Linked DNA regions of Mus musculus. The protein of the gene in region 1 interacts with the protein of each later gene in a biochemical or structural test. Links are inferred from orthologs where the notes say so. Each region holds a gene or a part of one and is shown on either strand. Other genes may lie near its edges. The genes, in order: Myog, Csrp3 and Srf.

Evidence for each region.
Region 2: the proteins of Myog (region 1) and Csrp3 form a complex in vitro, tested with the Homo sapiens proteins (2 studies listed by BioGRID and IntAct, with this or other methods). The link is inferred for Mus musculus from reciprocal best matches to the Homo sapiens genes MYOG and CSRP3.
Region 3: the proteins of Myog (region 1) and Srf form a complex in vitro, tested with the Homo sapiens proteins (2 studies listed by BioGRID and IntAct). The link is inferred for Mus musculus from reciprocal best matches to the Homo sapiens genes MYOG and SRF.

Annotation. Positions count from the first base shown.
Region 1 is NC_000067.6:134,287,149-134,294,962, forward strand, and holds Myog (myogenin), read left to right. Parts: upstream 1-2,855; 5' UTR 2,856-2,907; coding exon 2,908-3,378; intron 3,379-3,944; coding exon 3,945-4,026; intron 4,027-4,525; coding exon 4,526-4,647; 3' UTR 4,648-5,400; downstream 5,401-7,814. UniProt on the Homo sapiens protein: Acts as a transcriptional activator that promotes transcription of muscle-specific target genes and plays a role in muscle differentiation, cell cycle exit and muscle atrophy.
Region 2 is NC_000073.6:48,844,124-48,851,635, forward strand, and holds the start of Csrp3 (cysteine and glycine-rich protein 3), read right to left. Parts: upstream 3,929-7,512; 5' UTR 3,875-3,928; intron 1-3,874. UniProt on the Homo sapiens protein: Positive regulator of myogenesis. Acts as a cofactor for myogenic bHLH transcription factors such as MYOD1, and probably MYOG and MYF6.
Region 3 is NC_000083.6:46,544,762-46,551,731, reverse strand, and holds the end of Srf (serum response factor), read left to right. Parts: coding exon 1-201; intron 202-711; coding exon 712-831; intron 832-1,695; coding exon 1,696-1,887; intron 1,888-2,219; coding exon 2,220-2,296; intron 2,297-2,553; coding exon 2,554-2,649; 3' UTR 2,650-4,893; downstream 4,894-6,970. Other genes in the region: Cul9 (cullin-9), read left to right, coding at 5,986-6,021. UniProt on the Homo sapiens protein: SRF is a transcription factor that binds to the serum response element (SRE), a short sequence of dyad symmetry located 300 bp to the 5' of the site of transcription initiation of some genes (such as FOS).

The DNA.
Region 1 (7,814 bases):
TACCCTCATAGACTCGTTTTCAGTCGTCACCACCCTGAGATCCACACACTCTGATCACCCACACACCTTCCTCTTCTCACCTCTTCATGGCCTCATTCTGCTGATTCCCCAAGACCTGGTCCAGGACTTGACTCCTCCGCAGCCCTCCTCGGAGGCTTAGCCTCCAGTGACTTTGCCATTGGTTTGCAAGTGATCCTCGTCCCTGTTAGGTTTTGTTTTTTTTATTTTGTCTGAGACAGAGTCTCGCAACTAGCCCAGACTAGCCTGGAACTGGCAATCCTCCTGCCTTGGCCCTTCCAAGTACGGAATTAAAGGTATGTGCCACCATGCCCACCCAGCTTTCTGCCACCTCATTGGCTACAACATTAACAGCTTTGCAATGGGGCATTCGCTGCTAAGGGTCCAGGCTCTTGTACCAGGCAGCAGGAACCTGCAAGGCATCAAAGAATAAGTCCTTTCTGCTCCCACTTCAAAAGAACACAGATTGTTTAGGGTAAGTGGGATTGAGTCCCCCAAGGACAAAAGATACAATTTGGCAGTTTCCACAGCAGGTATGACATCCCTCTCTTTTTAGGGCTCACAGGGCTGGAGTATAACCTGAAGCAAGGTAAATTTTTGTTTGTTTGCTTCTTCACTTTGAGGAGGTGGAAAGTGTGTTGAACGTTTAGAACCCACAATAATGTGCTGCACTTTGTATCCCCAAGTAAAGTCAAGAACTGACTTAAGGCCTCAGTGTGTCCCAATTTGCTTGGGGCTCTTTTATTGCTCAGTATGTCCCCCCTCACACACCTGTTTCCTCCTTTAAAAGACAGCACTTTCTTGGCTCTTCTCTGTGGCTTAAGAGAAGAGAGAAGGCCGGTCCTTCAAACCCCATACAGCTCTCACGGCTGCTATGAAAGGAGCCCTCCCTGAGCCCCCCACCCCACCCCACTCCATCCCCCACAGACAACTCCACCCTTCTCCTAGTGTCCTGACTGGTAGTTAGGATGTAGCCATCTCCTCCTGCATTGGAGCAGGGATAGCAGGACAGATCACACCTAGTCTGCGGGGTCCTGGGGAAAAGTCTGAGCCATAGGTGAAAGTTTGTGGCTCCAAATCCAGAATTCCTGAAGCTTCAGGTCACATGACAGCCACAGGCAAAGAGATTTGGGAATCAGAGGCTGGGTGAAAGGTGGCCAGAGGCCTGCACACTGCTCTTTAGAACTGGTCCTCCCTGGCTACCAATGCCTCTCCTGAGGTATCTTCTGGCTGACAGAGGCCAAGATTCAATGGGAATGGCCCCTCCCCCACCTGACATTCTAGAGTTGTATGACGCAGGCAAAGGTGATGACTCAGGCAGGAAGGAATAGAAGAGGCCAGCCTGGTGGCCCAGGACAGACAAATGATGCAAAGGACTCTTTCTCCTTATCGACCCTTCTACAGAAAGGAAAGAGTCAAAACGGTTCTAGTGCCAGAAGGCATTATTGAGGGGAAAGCACAGAAGAGATGATTAAGAGCATCAGACAGGGTCCATCCCATAATCAGCCACCAAACACAGACACTATTACATATGCCAGCAAGATTTTGCTGAAAGAACCCTGATATAGCTGCCTCTTGTGAGGCTATGCCAGTGCCTGGCAAATACAGAAGTGGATGCTCACAGTCAGCTATTGGATGGAACACAGGGCCCCCAATGGAGGAGCTAGAGAAAGTACCCAAGGAACTGAAGGGGTCTGCAACCCTATAGGTGGAACAACAATATGAACTAACCAGTACCCCCAGAGCTCATGTCTCTAGCTGCATATGTAGCAGAAGATGGCCTAGTCGGCCATCATTGGGAAGAGAGGCCCCTTGGTATTGCAAACTATATGCCCCAGTACAGGGGAACGCCAGGGCCAAGAAGTGGGAATGAGTGGGTAGGGGAGCAGGGCGGGGGGAGGGGGGGTATAGGGAACTTTTGGGATAGCATTTGAAATGTAAATGAAGAAAATATCTAATAAAAAATAATTTAAAAAAGAGCGTCAGACAGGGGACTGAACAGCTCTTGACTAGGGGAGAAGAAGGCAATGTAGAGTAGTCTGTGAGTTCTAATCCTTGCTAAACACTGACTTCACCTGACCCCTACTACTTAAGGCCCCCCCCCTTACTTAAGAAGTCCCTGTGTTCTCTTACTTCAATCTACCCCCAACATCATGAGACCTGGTCAAAGAAGCTGTAGAAACCCAAAAGTTGAATCCATTTGCCCTTCTGGGTTTCTGTCTTTGCCTCCATGGACGATAGGGACACACACACACACACACACACACACACACACACACACACGCCCCAAATCTGGAGTGGTCCTGATGTGGTAGTGGTAGGTCTTTAGGGGTCTCATGGGACTGACATAGTATGGTTTAAGGTGCTGCTGAGCAGGAAAGAGAAGGCTAAGTGGATTTTCAAGACCCCTTCCCGTCCGTCCAAGACAACCCCTTTCTTGTTCCCTTCCTGCCCTGTCCACCAGCTGCCTTGGACCATGGAGGAGAGAGTAGGCAGGAGGCCCGGGTAGGAGTAATTGAAAGGAGCAGATGAGACGGGGGAATGCACCCACCCCCACCTTCCCTGCCCCACAGGGGCTGTGGAGAAATGAAAACTAATCAAATTACAGCCGACGGCCTCCCGACCCGTGCACAGGAGCCGCCTGGGCCAGGGGCAGGCCTGCAGGGTGGGGTGGGGGCAAAAGGAGAGGGAAGGGGAATCACATGTAATCCACTGGAAACGTCTTGATGTGCAGCAACAGCTTAGAGGGGGGCTCAGGTTTCTGTGGCGTTGGCTATATTTATCTCTGGGTTCATGCCAGCAGGGAGGGTTTAAATGGCACCCAGCAGTTGGTGTGAGGGGCTGCGGGAGCTTGGGGGCCAGTGGCAGGAACAAGCCTTTTCCGACCTGATGGAGCTGTATGAGACATCCCCCTATTTCTACCAGGAGCCCCACTTCTATGATGGGGAAAACTACCTTCCTGTCCACCTTCAGGGCTTCGAGCCCCCGGGCTATGAGCGGACTGAGCTCAGCTTAAGCCCGGAAGCCCGAGGGCCCCTGGAAGAAAAGGGACTGGGGACCCCTGAGCATTGTCCAGGCCAGTGCCTGCCGTGGGCATGTAAGGTGTGTAAGAGGAAGTCTGTGTCGGTGGACCGGAGGAGGGCAGCCACACTGAGGGAGAAGCGCAGGCTCAAGAAAGTGAATGAGGCCTTCGAGGCCCTGAAGAGGAGCACCCTGCTCAACCCCAACCAGCGGCTGCCTAAAGTGGAGATCCTGCGCAGCGCCATCCAGTACATTGAGCGCCTACAGGCCTTGCTCAGCTCCCTCAACCAGGAGGAGCGCGATCTCCGCTACAGAGGCGGGGGCGGGCCCCAGCCCATGGTAAGTGGCTAGTACACCAGATCCAGGGATAGGGCCAGAGGGAGGTGCCTGGTCAGCCCCGGGCCACCAGAGCTAGAACAGGTGCAAAGCAGGGCCCTTGGGATCCCTGGACCCCTTTCCTTGTCGGCTAGACTGTCCAGTGGCCTTCTGGGCTCATACTGTTTCCAAAATACAGATGGGGTAGGGTGGACTGGCACAGGAGAACAGAAGGGGCCCGGAAACAAGCCTGCAGTAAGGGCTTTGGTGAGCCTAGGTGAAAATGAGGGAAAAGTGGCCTAAGAAACCTGCTTTGTCCCAAGTCCACAGCCTTCATTTTTGACCTGACGAAACACATTAGAATGCCCACAGGCCTGCTCAGGAGCCACCGTAACAAAATACTGTGGTTTATCACCCTCACCGCCGAAATGAAAGCAAAGTTCTCATCCTAGAAGCTAGGAAAGACCTAGAAGTAGGATGTCTATGGTAACATTCTAGGGTAGGCAACTGACCCTGTAACCCAGGCAGAGAGAAATACCTGAGACTGGCAGTAGACTTGACCTTGGACCTTGGCCTTGTCTTGCATGCAGGTGCCCAGTGAATGCAACTCCCACAGCGCCTCCTGCAGTCCGGAGTGGGGCAATGCACTGGAGTTCGGTCCCAACCCAGGAGGTAAGTGAATCCTGACCCTGGTAACATGGCTCAAATCCCTTAGTCCCTACCTAGGCTGGGCTTGTACCCTTACCATAAGCCCTGTCCCAATCACCCTTCAGCAGCTTTTCTAGGAACTTGCTGACCTGAGGGCCCCAAATGGTGGGCTGGAGACCCTGTGCCTCCCGGTAGCCTTGACCAGCTAAAGAGTAGTCAGAGCCTCCAGCAACTTCCCTGCTGGTCTCTGACCTCAGAGAGAAGAGCCTGCTCCTGCCCCAGGGGTCCCTGGGGATCACTCAGTCAGTGTTGTAAAACTGTGCCCTGTGCCCTAGGATATCCTGGCTTCACCTAGGGATAGCCACTTTTAAAACCCCACAAGCACACACACAGCATGGGGAGTACTAGTGTCCTGGGGGCGGGGAACACTCCTGAGTCTTCCTTACCCATTTTGTCCTGGAAAATCTGTGTCAAGGGTCCCATACCAGTTGCCCAGGAAACATTCTCCCACTTTTTCTTGCAGATCATTTGCTCGCGGCTGACCCTACAGACGCCCACAATCTGCACTCCCTTACGTCCATCGTGGACAGCATCACGGTGGAGGATATGTCTGTTGCCTTCCCAGACGAAACCATGCCCAACTGAGATTGTCTGTCAGGCTGGGTGTGCATGTGAGCCCCCAAGTTGGTGTCAAAAGCCATCACTTCTGTAGCAGGGGGCTTTTAAGTGGGGCTGTCCTGATGTCCAGAAAACAGCCCTGGGCTGCCACAAGCCAGACTCCCCACTCCCCATTCACATAAGGCTAACACCCAGCCCAGCGAGGGAATTTAGCTGACTCCTTAAAGCAGAGAGCATCCTCTTCTGAGGAGAGAAAGATGGAGTCCAGAGAGCCCCCTTGTTAATGTCCCTCAGTGGGGCAAACTCAGGAGCTTCTTTTTTGTTTATCATAATATGCCTCGAATTCCACCCCCCACCCCCAAAATGAAACCGTTTGAGAGACATGAGTGCCCTGACCTGGACAAGTGTGCACATCTGTTCTAGTCTCTTCCTGAAGCCAGTGGCTGGGCTGGGCCTGCCCTGAGTTGAGAGAGAAGGGGGAGGAGCTATCCGGTTCCAAAGCCTCTGGGGGCCAAGCATTTGCAGTGGATCTTGGGAACCTTCCAGTGCTTTGTGTATTGTTTATTGTTTTGTGTGTTGTTTGTAAAGCTGCCGTCTGACCAAGGTCTCCTGTGCTGATGATACCGGGAACAGGCAGGGAAGGGGGTGGGGGCTCTTGGGGTGACTTCTTTTGTTAACTAAGCATTGTGTGGTTTTGCCAATTTTTTTTCTTTTGTAATTCTTTTGCTAACTTATTTGGATTTCCTTTTTTAAAAAATGAATAAAGACTGGTTGCTATCAGAGCATCTGCAATGATATTATCAAGAGGGGAGCCACCAAAACTCTGCACCTTTCCCTTGGAGGTCCAAATGGGAGTGGGGGGGTGTGGATCATGTGAGTGGAGCTGGAGTCCTGAGCTGGTTGTTAGACGCAGGAGCCAAGTGCCGCACAGCTTGGGGGAAAGACCGGATTCCTTAGAAACCCTGGGCCCACAGAGGCAGGCCTGTAAAATACTCTGTTTGTTGTACTTTCAGTCAGACGTCATTCACAGTTCCAATTCACAGCCCAATAGGTCCACTGCGCATGCTCACGTGCCTTGTGCCCAGCCCACACCTAGGGCTAGGGGTAAAGAGCTGGGTTTTCAGGACGTTTCTTCTTCAGCTCCATCTCTCCCCTGGATCCATTGGTCACCTTAAGCTCCACGGAGAAGTAGGAAGTGACTATACAGAACAAATGGGGTCAGACGCTGTCATTTCTTCAAAGGAAAAACAGCATATCCCCTGACCACCTTCTGCCCTTCCCTGCAGGCACAGGGATATTCCTGTCCCCAACTACAGCTCAAAGATGAGGAGATTCTGCTAAGGGAGCCAGAGACAAAGAATAATCAGAGGAGAAGCCAGGGTTCTCCTCATTTGAGATTTTTTTTTTTCCAAAGACTGGCTTCCTAAGGGGAGAAGGTGGGTGGGAAATTGAAAGCAAAGTGCACAGGTAGAGATTGTGTAAGGATTAACACGGGGTCTAAAAGAACTATAATCGGGAACAGGCCAAAAACACCTACTTCAAATTTGCTATTGGGTCGTACTGCTTGTCTGGTTTCCTGGAGATTATTTCCAAACCATTGCAGACAGGGATTCAGTATATGGTGCATCCTGGGTCCCCTTCAGTCCTCTCAGGTCCTTTGTCAACCAACCTGAACCAGTTTAAGAGAGCAGGCATTGATGGCCATTCTGCGCTTGCTCAAGCTCAGCTGGGCCCCTCCCCACAACTAACCTCCCTAAAGAAGATAGTATGAGAAAGGCTTGGTGGAGCCTCGGGAACTTGAGGAGGTAAGAAGCTACAGAGGGTAGGTCTCATCAAGGTCGTGATTATCGTGAATAAACGATCATGCATCCTGGTTTGTGGGATTTTTCTTCCTTATGAGTTTGTGTCATTGGATTTACAGTCTTTCAGATAGCCTGAAGAGGAATATTTAAGTCTAGCTTTGAGCTTCTGACAGTGGGGCAAAGTAAGTGTCTGCATTACCAATTCCTACCTCTGGTCTAGTGTTCTCCCTTAGGCCCACCAAAATACCCAACTGTGCAAAAAATAGAACTCTTCTCAGATTTGTGCCCTCTGCCCCAGTGCCTCCCAGTGTTCTTGAGTGGATTGTCCCCGACTGCCTTCAGTTGTGACATGTCTGTCCCTTGTCCTCCTAGGCCCCTCCAAGGGTCTAGTGCTAGCCAAGAACAAGGGTCCTCCGTGAATACCCTGCAGCTCATGGGCTCCAGTTGCTGGAAAATTGTGTTAAAGCCCATTCTTTTCACACTTGAAAAAGAGAACAAAGGTCACTGGAGTCAAGTGACCCTTGTGTAACCACAGCTTGAAAGTCCTCAAGCTATAATATGCCAGCACAGCTCAGATGTGGATGATAACCCTGCTTTCTAGGAGTCCAGAATATTTTCATATAATAAATGTTATTAAGCATAAAGGTTTCCTTAAATTAACAAACTCTCAGCCTTCACAATTGAATTACAGGTAACAGTCAGGTTAATGAATAACGAGATGGAGTTCTTTAGGGAAATTAAATTATGTCATCTGTGGAAGTAACTACAATAAATCAAACTGGGCTATTTTGCAATAGCAGCAGCAACAGGAAAGTTGTGGTGGTTTGAATGTTTGGTCCAGGGAGTGTCAGTGTTTGGAGGTGTGGCCTTGTTGGAGTAGCTGTGGCCTTGTCCACTTGTTGTGGACAGTAAGTGTGTCACTGTGGGGGTAGACTTTGAGAGCTTCCTCCTAGCTGCCTGAAGATGCCAGTCTTTTCCTAGCAGCCTTCAGATGAAGAGGTAGAACTCTCAGTTCCTCCAGCACCATGCCTGCCTGGACGCTGCCATGCTCCCACCTTGATGATAATGGACTAAACCTCTGAACCTGTAAGTCAGTCCCAATTAAATGTTGTCCTTATAAAAGGACACTGTGTCCACTCACAGCAGTACAAACCTAACCAGACACAAGTATCTGCTTTTATTAATATTCATCAACAAATTCTCCAGGATGAGATCAGTCAATCCGGGGTGATGTCACAGCCCAGCGCAGTAGACAGACAGTCAAGGAGACAGCACGTGTGTCTGTGCAACATGCATAGCATGTTCATGGAGCTGAAACATGTTGGCTAGTTCTACTGCAGCACCAGCTACCGCCTCCCTACCACCTCCCAGGAGAGACTTGGAAAGAAATTG
Region 2 (7,512 bases), on another chromosome or scaffold:
AAAAAATGGGAGAGCTACATTTAAAAGGCTAATTAACTTGACCCTTATACAAGCTTCTGCTATAACATGTCTTCCAGGAGACAGACATGGGTGAGCAATTCCAGTGACCAAGCATCTCATCTGGTGGGAACTGAGGTCTTATAGATCCATCATCTCTTTATGGGGCATAGAAAGCATTGATAAGAGGAGTCTTGGGGGCTTCAACTTGGTAACATAAGGGACAACCCAGGAATAAGTGGTGTTCAAACACGGAAGGACTCCTCTAAAGCTGGAAGTCTCTTTTCATTGTTGATTCTCATCTCCTTTGGGAATGGACATCTATGTAACTAAAATACAGCAAAGCATCCTTCAAGCCCTGAGACCAATTTTAAGGACCTGAACTGTGAATGATAGAAGCCTCTCTTTGCAGAAACGCTGCTCAGCAGAGTTCCCTCTTAAGTGCCATCTCTTCTCTTAATTCAGCAAGGCAGACAATGAAGTGTGAGAAGGCGCAGGCTTTTAAAAGAACTAAAGCTCCATTCAGGACATTAGCAGTCTGATCTGGGGCACACGGCTCTGACTCCTGAGCACAGCCCCCATGGATGTCAAAATGAGCAGGTTTGTCCCAGGATGCTGAAGGCAATAACAGTGACTACATATACACTCTTAGTGCACACAAGGATCCAATGATTGTTGCTGCCTTTAGATTACCACGATAGTTGATTGATGTGATTTGCTGTGCAGTGTTTGAATCTCTTTTTGTAAAACAAGCAAACCTCTCTCTTTTTTTCCCTTCTTTGTGAGTATTCATTTCAGACCACAAATCAACTGTTTCTCCAGTTTTTAGAATCTCAGCCACCCATGTGTGGGTGTCAGCCCAGGGGAGTGTCTGCTCGCATCTCAGGCTGCCTGTATCACTGACTGAGTTGGCCTCCGACCCACTCTGCCTCTCTGAAGCTCTCGCTGAGCTTGACTTACCAATCACAGGGGCTTTGAAGGGAAGCAAGCCCGTAGAGAGTTCCTATGGCTGAGGAGAAGCTCACCCATTTTGCTCCTACAGTAAGAGTCGAGGGCAGTGGGTGGCTTCCTCCTGATCGTATAAGCCAGGTGTATGTATGAAGTCTCTCCACCACCACCTTTCATAAAGCCTTGGAAGCCCTTGGTGCTTAGAAATAGCCATGAATGTTGGCTCTCAGGCATGGAGGACATGTGACTAGCGAGACAATAATGCGCAATTGCAGTACCCTGCTCTGAAATTATCTCTGTAGTATGCTTACTTCTGTTCTTGGTTCTGCTTTGACCTTTGTGCTTTAAAGACCACGCCGTACCCTGATCACATCTTGGCTCTGCTGCTTTCGGGCCATGTGACCCTGTGTGATTGCAGCAGTCCCTTGAACTTTAGTTTCTTCCCCTACAGAATGGCTTTTCCAGGACTTTCTGAGACTCTAGGGAAGCCCCCACATGCTCTGAACTTGCATGAGAGCAGGTAAGCAGCAGTCGATGCTGGCCGCTGTGTCCAACAATGACCTTAGTGGAGCTCTGCGTAGGCCCTGAGCTTCAGAGCTCCTAGAAAAATCCCTGCACCTCTCAGTTTCCACCTAGGCAGGAATCATATTTCTCTTTGGACTTGACTCCCAGCTCTCTATACAGTGAGTATTCCCAGACATCTGGGCAGCATGCTTGCGCTTGGAAGGCTGCCTGCCTGGAGTTGTATTTCCTGTATACGATACTCCTAGGCCTGTATCCATTCTCTTGACAAACACATCAATCACCTCTCACCACTGACCAGCTTGTTAGCCACTCCGACTGCCAGACTTTGTCATCATCTCGTACTTCACAGGGCATCCATCCTAATGCAGAGAAGGCCCTGCACCCTTTCTGAAAGGCTTCATTTATGCATGCAGCCATATTGAATTCATAAAGTACTTCCCTGGATCTTATTTAGCCCACGCAAATCCCTGGAGATAGGTGGTCATCCTTTATTTTACTGTTCTGAAAGTGACAATTGGGAAGCTAAGAGATACGCAGTTATGATTTGAACCTTTGACTCTTGTTTACTTTGCTTTTCTTCCTATGGTTCCCAAGAGTTAAGAGTTTGCATCTAAGCCAGGCGATGGTGGCGCACGCCTTTAATCCCAGCACTTGGGAGGCAGAGGCAGGCGGATTTCTAGGTTCGAGGCCAGCCTGGTCTACAAAGTGAGTTCCAGGACAGCCAGGGCTACACAAAGAAACCCAGTCTCAAAAAGAAAGAAAAAAAAAAGAGTTTGCATCTATCACAGTTCTGCATCTATCATAGTTCTGTTTCCATTTCCTGGGTGAGGTCCTTCTGGTTTGTCTGCTGCATGGTGCCACTTGCTCCTCTGCCCCCAGGCTGCCTCTCTGCTGAGCTCCCTTGCCTCTGACAGATATTTTGTATGTCCAGGCAGACACTAAGCCCTGGCTCAGCTATACCTCCTCTTAACCGTGGGAGCTCCTCACACTGAACACCAAGGAGAGGGTTATTCAGAAATAAATCAAAGCCAAATCAGGAAACTCTCCACATTTTCTGGGACATAAAACAGTTTTACACACACTGCAATGAACTGGTTGAACGATGGAGCATTTTGTAATGGAGAGGGCTGTGGTCATTTCATGCAGATGGCCATCGCCTTGCTTCCTATGAGATAGCCCTGGTCTTTGTTTTGTAAAAGCCAGCATAGCATGCTCCTCTTACCTTGTTTCCCTTAATGCTCAGCCCTCAAAGGAAACTGAGTATGCAGACTACCCCCATTCCCCTACTCTACTTCGCGGCTTGTGCCTCCCTCTGCTCTAGCCCTGAGCTAGGAGGCAGTCCATACTGCTTATTAACTGGCGTTGCACCACACCACAATTAGACGAGCGCCCTCCAATGGTTACCCAGCTCCCCCATGGAGGGGTCACCACCATGGCTAAGGGCCAGAACAGACGTCAGAGGTGGCAGCTTTGATCTGCACAGCATCCAGGCCATTGCTTAAAACCATGTCTTGTTCTCATTGACTGGATATTGAAAAGAAACCCTTGATTGAGACCTGGAGAGAATACTGGGAGTCACCTCTCATCACGGGCAAGGAATTCATCTTCCCATTTAATAAGAGGTTGTAATGAGGTTTCAGCATCATGATGTCTTTTCTAAGGACCAGTTTTGATTAATTTTAGACAGCTAAAAGCATGCCTGTGGCTGAACATCTTTGGTGTGTGTTTATTTTAAAACAACCAATCTGGGATCTCATTCATCCACCCACACCTTGTGAGCAGCAGCGTTTCATGAACTGAGGTGGGAAAGGTGCTCTTCTGTGCTATCGGATATCTGACAGATCTGATATACTATACAGTTGTCTCATAACCATATAGCAATGTGGAGTTTAAATAATGTCACTACTTTCCTATCAAACCCTTGAAGGAAAAGTGAGCAAGACCCCTCCTTAGAGCTACTCATTTGTGTCTTCTGTGGCCGATCTGAGGCTGCGGTGTACATCTGAACTTCATCTTACTCTGCTTTCCTGTCATCTGCCTCAGAAGATGGGACCATTCCACTATGACAATGACTTTAGACCCAGATTAATCCCATGCCCATTGCTCCCAACTTTTTGTTTTGTTTTGCTTTGTTTTTAGGGTGCCAGGAAATCAAATGCAGACCTTCACACATGCTCCCCAAGTCCTGCCACCCAATATCAATCATACTTTTAGGAAGTTCAAAACTAATGCTAGAGCTGTATATGGGTCAAGTATATAAACTTGATCCTCCTCATCTGTAGCCAGGGTGGGTGCTGAGACTTGGTTGTAAAATATGCCTCCACTGTATAGGACTCCGTAAAGTCCCATCCAGTCACCCAGTCAGTCAGCCAGCCCGCCCAAATGCCTGTTGTGGTCTACTTACCTGCCTGCCTGTGTGGTCTCTGCCGGCTCAACTGAGTAAGGGGACTCTTGTCCTCTTTAAATATATAGAGGCTGTCACCAGTCTTGGCTCGCTGAGGGAAGGGCAGTGGGGAGGCTGAGGAGAGGGGGTGAATAAGACACGAGTAACACAATTGCCAAAAATAGCCCGTGACCAAAGCCCTTAGTTGTGTTCCCCACCCCACCCCCCATGCCAGCCGGGAGCCTCCCGGAGAACAATATCAGTTGGGTTCTATTTTAATTGCCATTTGCCTAAGGCACCAAGGGATGCATTTGTGAAGTGTACAGCTTCTGACTGAAGACTTCGACTTGTACAAAGGGTTTTATATTTAAAATCATTTTTGCAACACTCCCTTCCACACACCCCCACCCCCATGCCCTGCCTGTTCTGGAAATCAGTGCAGGCTACCTGCAAATGGATCATGAGCCATGCCTGGGAGCCCTTTGGAATTCCAAGACCCAGGTCATTGCACTGTGAGAACTCAGAGCTAAAAATAAGAGTGATGGGGGCCTGGCGCACACTTAACTAATCTCTTCAAGGAGGGCGTGTGGGGAGGTGGGACTGACATCAGCTAATCATCAAAGGCCTGTGTATCTAATGAAGAAATGTTTTCTCTCAAGTTTTGAGTCACTATATTGATTAATGGAATATTTCATGGTTTAGACCAGGGCTTGTGGTAATTTCACAAAGATGGGCATAGCATTGCTTTATAAGAAATCTGCTCCATCTGTGTTATCATGGGGAACAGCATAGCTTATTCGTCTGAGATATAAAGCAGAGATGACTGCCCTGCAAGGTCGGGGGATCTTAAGGATTCTTGTAGGATGGCAGTGTTTAAAGTTGAGAGAAAGAGAGAGAGAGAGAGAGAGAGAGAGAGAGAGAGAGAGAGAGAGAGAGAGAGAGAGTGAGTTATAGTTCAGTCCTTGAGGTGAAAGCTAGATGATCAGAAGTTACCATTCTCAGCCATATAACATGTTCGAAGCCAGCCTCTGCCTCAAAAAAAAACAAACAAACATATCAAAAACTTTGAAATAAAACAAAACCCATCAAAATTTTGTGTGCTTTTGACACCAATATTTTTTAACATAATTAATGTTGAATGGGACATCAACACATAAAGTCAATAAAACAAGATTAAAAATGTAACTTTTTAATGTTACATTTTAAAATCTGAGCATTAGAATGTCCTGGGTCAATTCATTAAGAGAGTCTATTCTATATGGACTTTACCAAATTCTTACATAGCCAAAAGGGTCTCAGCTGTGACAAATCTAAGTTTCCCAGGACAGGCTTCTCTGAAACCACAGGCATGTAGGCAAGTCTTCTCTTTTATGTCTTTCTGTGATCTTCCTTCTGTGTATATGTGGTCAGTCGCATGCTTTCTTATAAGGATACCAGTTATATTGGATAAGAGCCTACTCCTATGACCCAGTTCTTTCTCTGAAGCTCCTGTTTCCAAATACAGCACAACATCCTGAGATACTGAGGTCGGAAGGATGTAAATGTGTATTTTTTTAGGGACCAAATTCAATCTGCACTTGGGCGATTATCATGCTTACATCTGAGAATCTATATTCCAAATGGCCTTTAGTCAGAACTGGGAGGGAACCATCTGTAATAGCCCAGCCCTGTTGGAGTGGCCAATGGTGGTGGTGCCAGTTTATTCGGGTTCCTCATTAACTTGTTTCCTTTGGAAACTTTTATGACTTCTTAAATTTCACGATTTTTTTTTTTTTGTCTTTTAAAGTTTATGCCACTTGAAATCTAGTGGGTAATTTCAGTCTGAAAATTCATGGTTTTTCTTTTTAGCTTTGGAAATTTTTAATGTTTTAAATTAATTCCTCCCTCTAATGACTATTAGAAATTAGAACATTTTCTTTTTGTATTTATTCAAATATGTCTTAGCTCACCATTGACTGGAACAGTGGTTCTCAACCTGTGGATATTGACCCCCTTTGAGTTGAATGACCCTTTCACAGGGATCACGTGAGTCCATCAAAAAAACACAAAGATATTTACATTTTGATTAATAACAGTAGCAAAATTACAGATATGAAGTAGCAACAAAAATAATTCTATGGTTGGTGGTTACCATAACGTGAGGAACTGTACTGAAGGGATAAAACCTTAGGAAGGTTGAGAGCCAGTGGCCAAGAATGAATTCTCATTACACCCAAGTATATTCAGCCACTTATTCATTTACTAATTTAAAAATAATTCCGGGGCTGGTGAGATGGCTCAGTGGGTAAGAGTACCCGACTGCTCTTCCAAAGGTCCTGAGTTCAAATCCCAGCAACCACATGGTGGCTCACAACCATCCGTAATGAGATCTGACTCCCTCTTCTGGTGTGTCTGAAGACAGCTACAGCGTACTTACATATAATAAATAAATAAATTAAAATCTTAAAATAATAATAATAATTCCATTTATAAGTTTTTCAAAATTTTGTCTCACCGCATAACCCAGCTGGGTCTTGAACTCAAAATGTTTGTGGGATTGCACTTGGCTCTATATAATTGTTAGCACATCTAATTTTTTTTCTTTTTTTAGCCAGCCCATTCTTGTTCTATGGTTGGCATATCATCCTGAATCTCTACAGACGTTAATGACACTGAGGACAAGTCTATTTTCTCTGTTCTGTTTCCTTGGTTATTGTTTCTTTCATGCATTCACTTTAGGGTTCCTAATAATTTCCCTTCAATAGTGGGGCAGGGATGGATCCTGCTGAACAGTGCTGTGCTGTTTTATCTAGGTATGGGGTGGAAATTTCCAACACCTCTCAAGGTCGCTAGTTCTCTGTGGATCTCTCTAGCTCCTGGCACCTTAGACTTGGGCCACACTGACCCTTGACCTGTTTCCTTGCTCACTATGATGGTGATCGTCAAAGTTTCTCACCTATATTTCTACTGATTCCATTTGAAGTGTCCCCAGAACAGCCCTCACCCTCAGCACTTGGCTCCTCTGTGTGCTTGGGCCCTCTTTCTCCAGCAATCCAAAACTTCTACTTTCTATATATCTTACCTTCTGATGGACACTTTCTGTTTTCCCCTATTCCCTACATTTTTTTTACGTTTTTTTCATATTAAATTTCTTTCTGGAATCTCATAGTCTAACCAGTAGCTACATTTGGCTATTCAGATTGAAATGGTTTAAATTTAAATAAGATGTGAGATTTCTTAGTCCTTGTGTGTCATTCGTCAGGTGCCTACGGTAGCATAGAGGGGAAAGGCCCATTTCTATAGAAGTTCTATTGGGCTGCTCTGCTGTAGAACCTCTCCATTAATCCACACCATAGCTTTGCCAAGAAGGTACTATTATTCCTCTCACTGTATTGGTGAGCAATGAAGATGCAACTCCTTAAGACAGTCAGTCCTCACACACACATGCAAGTCTGGCAGCCCTGGGCTGAGAATTCACATCTTCCCCTATTAAGTACCCCTGGAGTAGCTAACCCTTAACAAGTCACTGGAACACATCAGTCACAAAGGAACAAAGGCACTCAGATGTAGGTCTAACTCTAAAACCCTTCCCACAATGGTCTTGACGTTAGCTTGATCTTGGTCTGTTCAGCAAACATTTTTGAGCAACATACCAATATTGCATATGCGAATGCTCACAT
Region 3 (6,970 bases), on another chromosome or scaffold:
CAGCACCCAGCACCTCTACCACCATGCAAGTCAGCAGCGGCCCCTCCTTCCCCATCACCAACTACCTGGCACCAGTGTCTGCTAGTGTCAGCCCCAGCGCTGTCAGCAGTGCCAACGGGACTGTGCTCAAGAGTACAGGCAGCGGCCCTGTCTCCTCTGGGGGCCTTATGCAGCTGCCTACCAGCTTCACCCTCATGCCTGGTGAGTCACAAGGGGCAGGGAGAGGTTTGTTCTCTCTGGGACAAATTGAGGGTGTTGAGTGATTTTAGGACTGGTTCCAGGAGGACCTCTTTCTTTGACAAGGAGGGTAAAATGGGTTAGAGCCAAAGAGAATCATCTCGCCTCCCTTTGGAAGACAATCTCTGCCCAGTGAGATCCCTGTTGTTGGTGGTGGTTTAAGTTCATTTCCACACTGGTGTTGTCTGACCAGCTCGCCCTTGCACCTCCACTGCTGTGGGGATGGCTCTCCCCCTCGTCTGTTGTGACTGGGGACAGATTATGGCCTTGATAGATTAAGGCTAGCTCCTGGTCAGCTGAAGATGGAGCAGAGCTTGGGACAGGAGGAAGAGGGGACTCACTTCATTCAGAGCATATAGGATGTCTTCAGGTCCCAGGGGAGCCAGGGCATGGGCCTGGGAATACAGTAGTCCAGCATGTTTGAAGGCGGCAGCTGCATAGGCTGGAACCCAAGTAAAACACTGTGTCTTATAGGTGGGGCAGTGGCCCAGCAGGTCCCTGTGCAGGCCATTCATGTGCACCAGGCCCCACAGCAAGCGTCTCCCTCTCGTGACAGCAGCACAGACCTCACGCAGACCTCCTCCAGCGGGACAGGTATAACTCTTTGCCACTCTCCTCCCCAGCCCCCAGTGCCCTGCCTTCCCACAGGAAGCCTAGAAGTAGGGACTTAGCGGCATGTCTCTCCCATGCTCAGGACCGCAGGGAATTCACTAAGTAGAGCCTGGACTTTTTCTCTCATCCTTAGAAGAGACCTAGGTAAGCACGCTAAGGTTTGAGCCCTGCTCTGCAGTGGGGAATCAAGAGATAAGGAACCATTGAAAAATAACCTGCTCAGTAACCAGGGAGGCCCGAGAGCAGTTGTCACCGATGAGACACTCTAGGTCTCCCTGTAGGTCTCTAGTTCCTCTCTGCCGCTGTTGGTCTTTTCAAGAATTAGAGTGAACTCTCACGTGTAAGTTATTGTCATTCCCGCCTTATTTATTACACATTAGCTGAATCCCTTCTGCTCTAGGACTGGAGGGCCTGGGAATCGGGGGACAAGCAAGAGTCTCAAGTGAGTCAGAGTCTGCGCATTAGTAAGCTCCTACAGTAACATCTGAGATGTGCTTGTCTGGAGGACGAACCTCTTAGGTGTAAGTTGAGGAAGAGTGAGGAGGATACGCGCAATGGAGTTCCCTAAGAAACTGCCTTGACTTTCCTGGGAGGAGGTCATGGTTGCGATCGTAGGGTCTGGGAACAGAGACTTTGATGGACGCACAATCCCACCGTAGAACAGTGGGCTGTTGAGCTCAGAGGAAAAAGCTAGACTTTATTGTTGTTGACAGGAAGCAAAGAAACAAGCTTTTGAAAAACTCGAGCCATAGGACATGGTACAAAGACCCTGAAGGTTGGAACCCTGGGGCAGGATGAGAGATAGCAGGAGGGATCAGCTCCCTGATGTGTGTCTGTGTTTTCCAGTGACGTTGCCCGCCACCATCATGACGTCGTCTGTACCCACAACTGTGGGTGGCCACATGATGTACCCTAGTCCCCATGCAGTGATGTATGCCCCCACCTCAGGCCTGGCTGATGGCAGCCTCACCGTGCTCAATGCCTTCTCTCAGGCACCATCCACCATGCAGGTGTCCCACAGCCAGGTCCAGGAGCCAGGTGAGGGAAGGGCAGGGCTGAAGCAAGAAGGACCATTTATCTCTCCCTTCCACAGGCTCCAGCGCCAACATGCACCCTCACTCCACCCCCTCTCCCAATGCCCACACATACTCCTGCACAATTGCAAGGATCTCACACTCAGTGGACACTCTTGCGCATGTAAACCCTCACACCACAGGCACCCTCATGCTGTGCGTGAGACGGACGCTATGGGCACACACCCTTGGGCACGTGTCTGAGGCTTCCCAGACACTTGTGAATATCATGCTCCTCCAGTATCTAGGGCTCCTCTTGAGCAAGTTAGTGAGTATCTCCCATGCTTTCCGATGCAGGTGGTGTCCCTCAGGTGTTCCTGACAGCACCGTCTGGGACCGTGCAGATCCCTGTCTCTGCAGTTCAGCTTCACCAGGTAAGGTGGACTCTGACCTGGCCCACTCAGCCAGTCTCCCCTGGGCAAGTACTAGAACGGCAGGCCAGCAGGAGGCGCCCGAGCTCAGCCTGCTGGTCGGTCTCTCCCTCCTGTCCTCACACACCTCCCTCCTTTTTTTTTTTTTTTTTTTTTTTTTTTTTTTTTTAATGAAGACTTTTAATTTTATTATTTAACATAATTTAAGACTTTTTTTCGTATTTTTCCTTACCCATCTTTACACACCTCCCTCCTTACAGATGGCTGTGATAGGGCAGCAAGCTGGGAGCAGCAGCAACCTCACCGAGCTACAGGTGGTGAACCTGGATGCCACCCACAGCACCAAGAGTGAATGATCCGCCCGTCACCCTGGACAGACGGCCCAAGGGACGGCACCACTTATTTATTGTTGCCTTTTCACGGTTTCTTTACACACACACTGACTGGCCGAAGGAGGGAGGCGGGGAGAAGGAGCGGGCAGCCACAGGACTATGCCCTCTCACTCCAGCCAAAGAAACGGGCCTGCCTGCCCTCCCCAGCTGCCCTCCTTCCTGCTCTGCCTGTCATGCTGTTGATGGTGCAGCTCTCCTCCCTCCTCAGACCCCCTGCCAGCCTGGCTCAATTTGCTATGAGTATTAGCTGACCCGATGGGACTGTGCCACCTTCCCACTCACAGGCCTTCTGTGGGACTGGGCACAGTGTTCCCGTCCGAGGAAACATTTGGGGCCCTCTCTCCAGCCTCTTTGGCGACCTCTGGTTAGCTTTGTGTCTGCCATGGTCTGGGTCAAAAGAGCCCGGCCCCTGCCCCTCAGGGAGCCAGCTGGGAGAGATATGGGGGCTTGTGCCCTCAGCCGATGCCCTCTGCCCCTTTCAGCTCCTGAAGCAGCTGGGCCTGTGCACCGGGCAGGTTACTGGGGCCGCCTGCCCTGCCTTGCCTCTGTTCCCGCGGACCTGCAGGGGCTCCTGGGTTGGAGGGAACCACTGTTAGCGGTCTCTTCCTCCCCTTGGTCTTCCCCCTTCTCCCAGCTGCTTTACTTAAGAGTTGATTTTGAACTTTTTATTTGAGGAGATGACGTGAAAACAAATCTATAAATATATATTTTTAAAATATTTAACTTTTTTTTAATGGCGTTTTTCTCATCCCCCTCCCTGCCCAAACTCCTCTTGGGGAAGCTCTTGGGCTCCCTAGAACTGTCTGGGCCCCTGGGGACAGCCACCCCATGAGCTTGGGGTCCACCAGTGTGTGTGTGTGGGAGATTCTGGGATTGCTCCACATCCTGGGTTCTTTCCAGGAGAAAGGTGGGGGAGGGGCCCTCAGGCCAAGCCACAGAAGGGGGATGGGAGGTCCCGCAGTTCTAGGCCTCTTTTGCCCTCTAGGGTTGTTGCTAGGAAAAGGGAAGATGGAGACCAAATGTGGGGGTGGGGTGGGAGGGGTCAGGGAGAGGAGATTGATGTCCTTTGTGCCACAGTATGGTCGTTGCAGCCTGTGCTCCCCCAGGCTTGCAGATACCTGGGGCCCAAGGTGCAGTGGGCAGGATGGAGTTCGGGAGGTAGGGAGATACAGGAATGGGGGTCAGAGGTAAAAGCTCTTGGGCTGAGTGCAGCAATGGGGGGCCAGAGGTGGGCAGCTCTCCCAGGGAGTGAGCAGCTACTGTAACTTTTTTAAATTAAGACAAAAAGCCTTGAAGAAAATGACTTTATTTTTCTAAGTGTAACCTCAGTATTTATGTAATTTGTACAGGGCCATGCCCCATCCCTTAAAATCCCTTTGGGGACCTTGAGGGTGGGCTAGCATAGGGGAGGGTGTTTTACCCTGTGTCAGAGCCAGCCTAAACCACCTGTATCCATTAAAGGAGCTTTTTCCGGGAGGGCAGTTGGGGTAGGGTGTCACTAAACCCTTGTTGCTGCCTTCAGTAGGAACAAGCCTACTTCTGCGGTTAGGTGGAGGGGTTGGGAAGGTTTTATGCACAGCCTACGTTTCATGGGGATGATCTGCTGACGTTTAAGAGCCCCCTGAACCTCTAATCCCCATTACTGTCTTCCCCAGCTGGGATGCCACCTTTCTGGCCTTTCTCCTGGAAATAGCTGGGGCGTTTGGGTGGCTTTCAAGACTGGGGCATGGTAAACCAGGGGTCAGAGTTGGGGAGCTTGGGACTCAGGTCTGTAACTGCCCAGCCCCCTTCTCTGCTCCTGTTTCACTCCTCTGCCGCCCACTCATGGCCCCTCCCCCAACACCGGAGGTGTTGATTCCTCCTCACAAAAGATAGAGCCTGGGCAAGTGATTCAGGCCAAGTGCTTACCAACGTGTGCTGTGTGATTGTGGCCTTGGGAGAACCTGTTTGTCAGGCAGGACTGAGGTGGCATTTCTATGTGCAGCAACCCTTGGTGTATCCCTAATTAAGTGGCTCTAGGGGTGTGTGCGCGCGCCTGTGTCCGAGTGAATACGTGTGTGAATGTGGAGTGCGTGTGGTATATCCGTGGTTTCTACTTCTCCTGGGATGTTGACCCAGGAATAGTGGACATGGTCACATCTTCTGTACAGAGCTTTCTTTTGTATTAAAAAAATACTCTTTCAATAAATGTATCATTTTTGTGCACAGACTGGGGTCTTTGGCTGTGTCTTTGGGATCTTTTTAGCATCGGGAGGGAGGAGGGAGCACAATCCCTTAAAGTCTGTCCCAAGCTGCGGTGTGCTTTGGACTGTTCAATCCTACATGATTGAAGAGATCTGGGCGAGGACTTAATGCATGGTTTTGCCAGCAGCTCAGGGAAGGTCAGGGGTTTTACTTAAAAGTCAAAGTGACCCAATGATCTAAAATACCGCAGGGTTTGGGCAGCGCTGGGAAACAACAACAACACACACACACAAGTCCGGTGATGGGAGTATGGGTTAACTAATGCGGAGATGATTGCTGTGGTGGGTGGGAGAGGAAGATGGACCCGGTGGAGCGCAGGATGCTTCACACCGGACTACCTGGGAAGGACACTGGTTGCTGACTCCCTCGGCTAATACGCATGCTCCACTCACGCGCCGCTTTGCCACGCTCGCAGTGGGCCACCGTAGGACCCGTAGTCGCCCGGGTCGTGCGTGCGCCCGGCGTGTGACCCGGAAAAGAGCTGTGGAGGAGGCGGGCCCAGTTGCGGGACCCGCTGCTGGGTGACAGCGAGGGTCCAGCCGGGAGGGCGGTGAGAGGTGAGAAGAAAGCTCTGCACCGAGCCATCCCTTCTTTTCCCAACCCCCTCCAAGTCCCTCATCCCTTCCTCCCGGACTAGAGGGAGAAGTCGGGGAAGCAGGTCCTGTCAGCTCGCGACCGCGCCCCGCCATGCTCACCCCGCGCCGCCCCGCTCCCCCAGGCCATTATTCCCCGCTTGGTGTTGAGCGGGCTCCTCCGCCACCTCTCTGGAGTCTAGCTTGGACGCGATCGTGCTGCTTTCTGTTCTCAGTCCCGGCAGTCAGGCGTCACCTTCACACCCCTATTTAGAGCTTCTGGTTTAGGCCCTCCCTATGCCATCCCCGCCCCCCAGGCCTAGAAGATGGTTTGGCTTGGCCCCATGTTTGTCAACAGCTATAAGAGCATCAATGGTTATCGCCTAGCCTTCCTTCCATGCTAAGTGAATCCCATCCACACAGAAGTTCACATCTTATATGACTCCTCCTTTCTTCTGCTTGCCTCCTGTCCGTGCACCCTGACATGACTCCTGCCTGGATAACTGGTTCTTTTATCCAGGTACACCTTCTATTTTACTCTCTCCATTGCACTGTTTCAAATCACACATACCTTTCCCTAGTCGTTTTATTTTCATTAATATTCTGCTTTAACAACCTTTCTTATCTGATGCCTGCAACCTACTGTCCCCATCTAAGAATAGATTATGCTGTAATACATTTTTTTTACTGAGCAGTTCTGTGCTAACGAATGTTCAGTTTGGTTTCTGTTTTAAAGATTCATTTATTTTATTTATATGAGTAACTGTCTTAAGACACACCAGAAGAAGGCATCGGATCCCATTACAGATGGTTGTGAGCCGCCATGTGGTTGTTGGCAATTGAACTCAGGACCTCTGGAAGAGCAGACAGTGCTCTTAACCACTGAACCATCTCTCCAGCCCTTAAAGACAATCTTACTGTGTAGTTTGGGCTTAGCCAGGAACTTTCTGTGTGTAGCCAAGCCTAACCTCGGAATTTGTGATTCTTTTGCCTCAGTCTCCTGAATATCAAGATTATAGGCACACCAGGCTTAAATTCATAGCCTTTTAGAAAGGAGATTTATGGACCTGGGGATGTAGCTCAGTTGGTGGAGTGTTTGCCTAGCACCCAGGAAGCCCTGGGTTCAATCCCCAGCACCCATATAATGCTGAAAACCATGTCTAACTCGACTTCCAGGGGATCTGATGCCTTCCCTGGCCTCCAAGGGCACCAGGCAAGTGCTGCACAGACAAATACACAAACAAAATTCATACACACAGATTTATTTATTTTATTTGCTTTTTTCGAGACAGGGTTGCTCTGTGTAGCCCTGGCTGTCCTGGAACTCACTCTGTAGACCAGGCTGGCCTCCAACTCAGAAATCCACCTGCCCCTGCCTCCCAAGTGCTGGGATTAAAGGCATGCGCCACCACTGCCCGGCCATATATTTTATTTTTAAATAAATTAAAAAGGATTTATTTTGTGTGCAT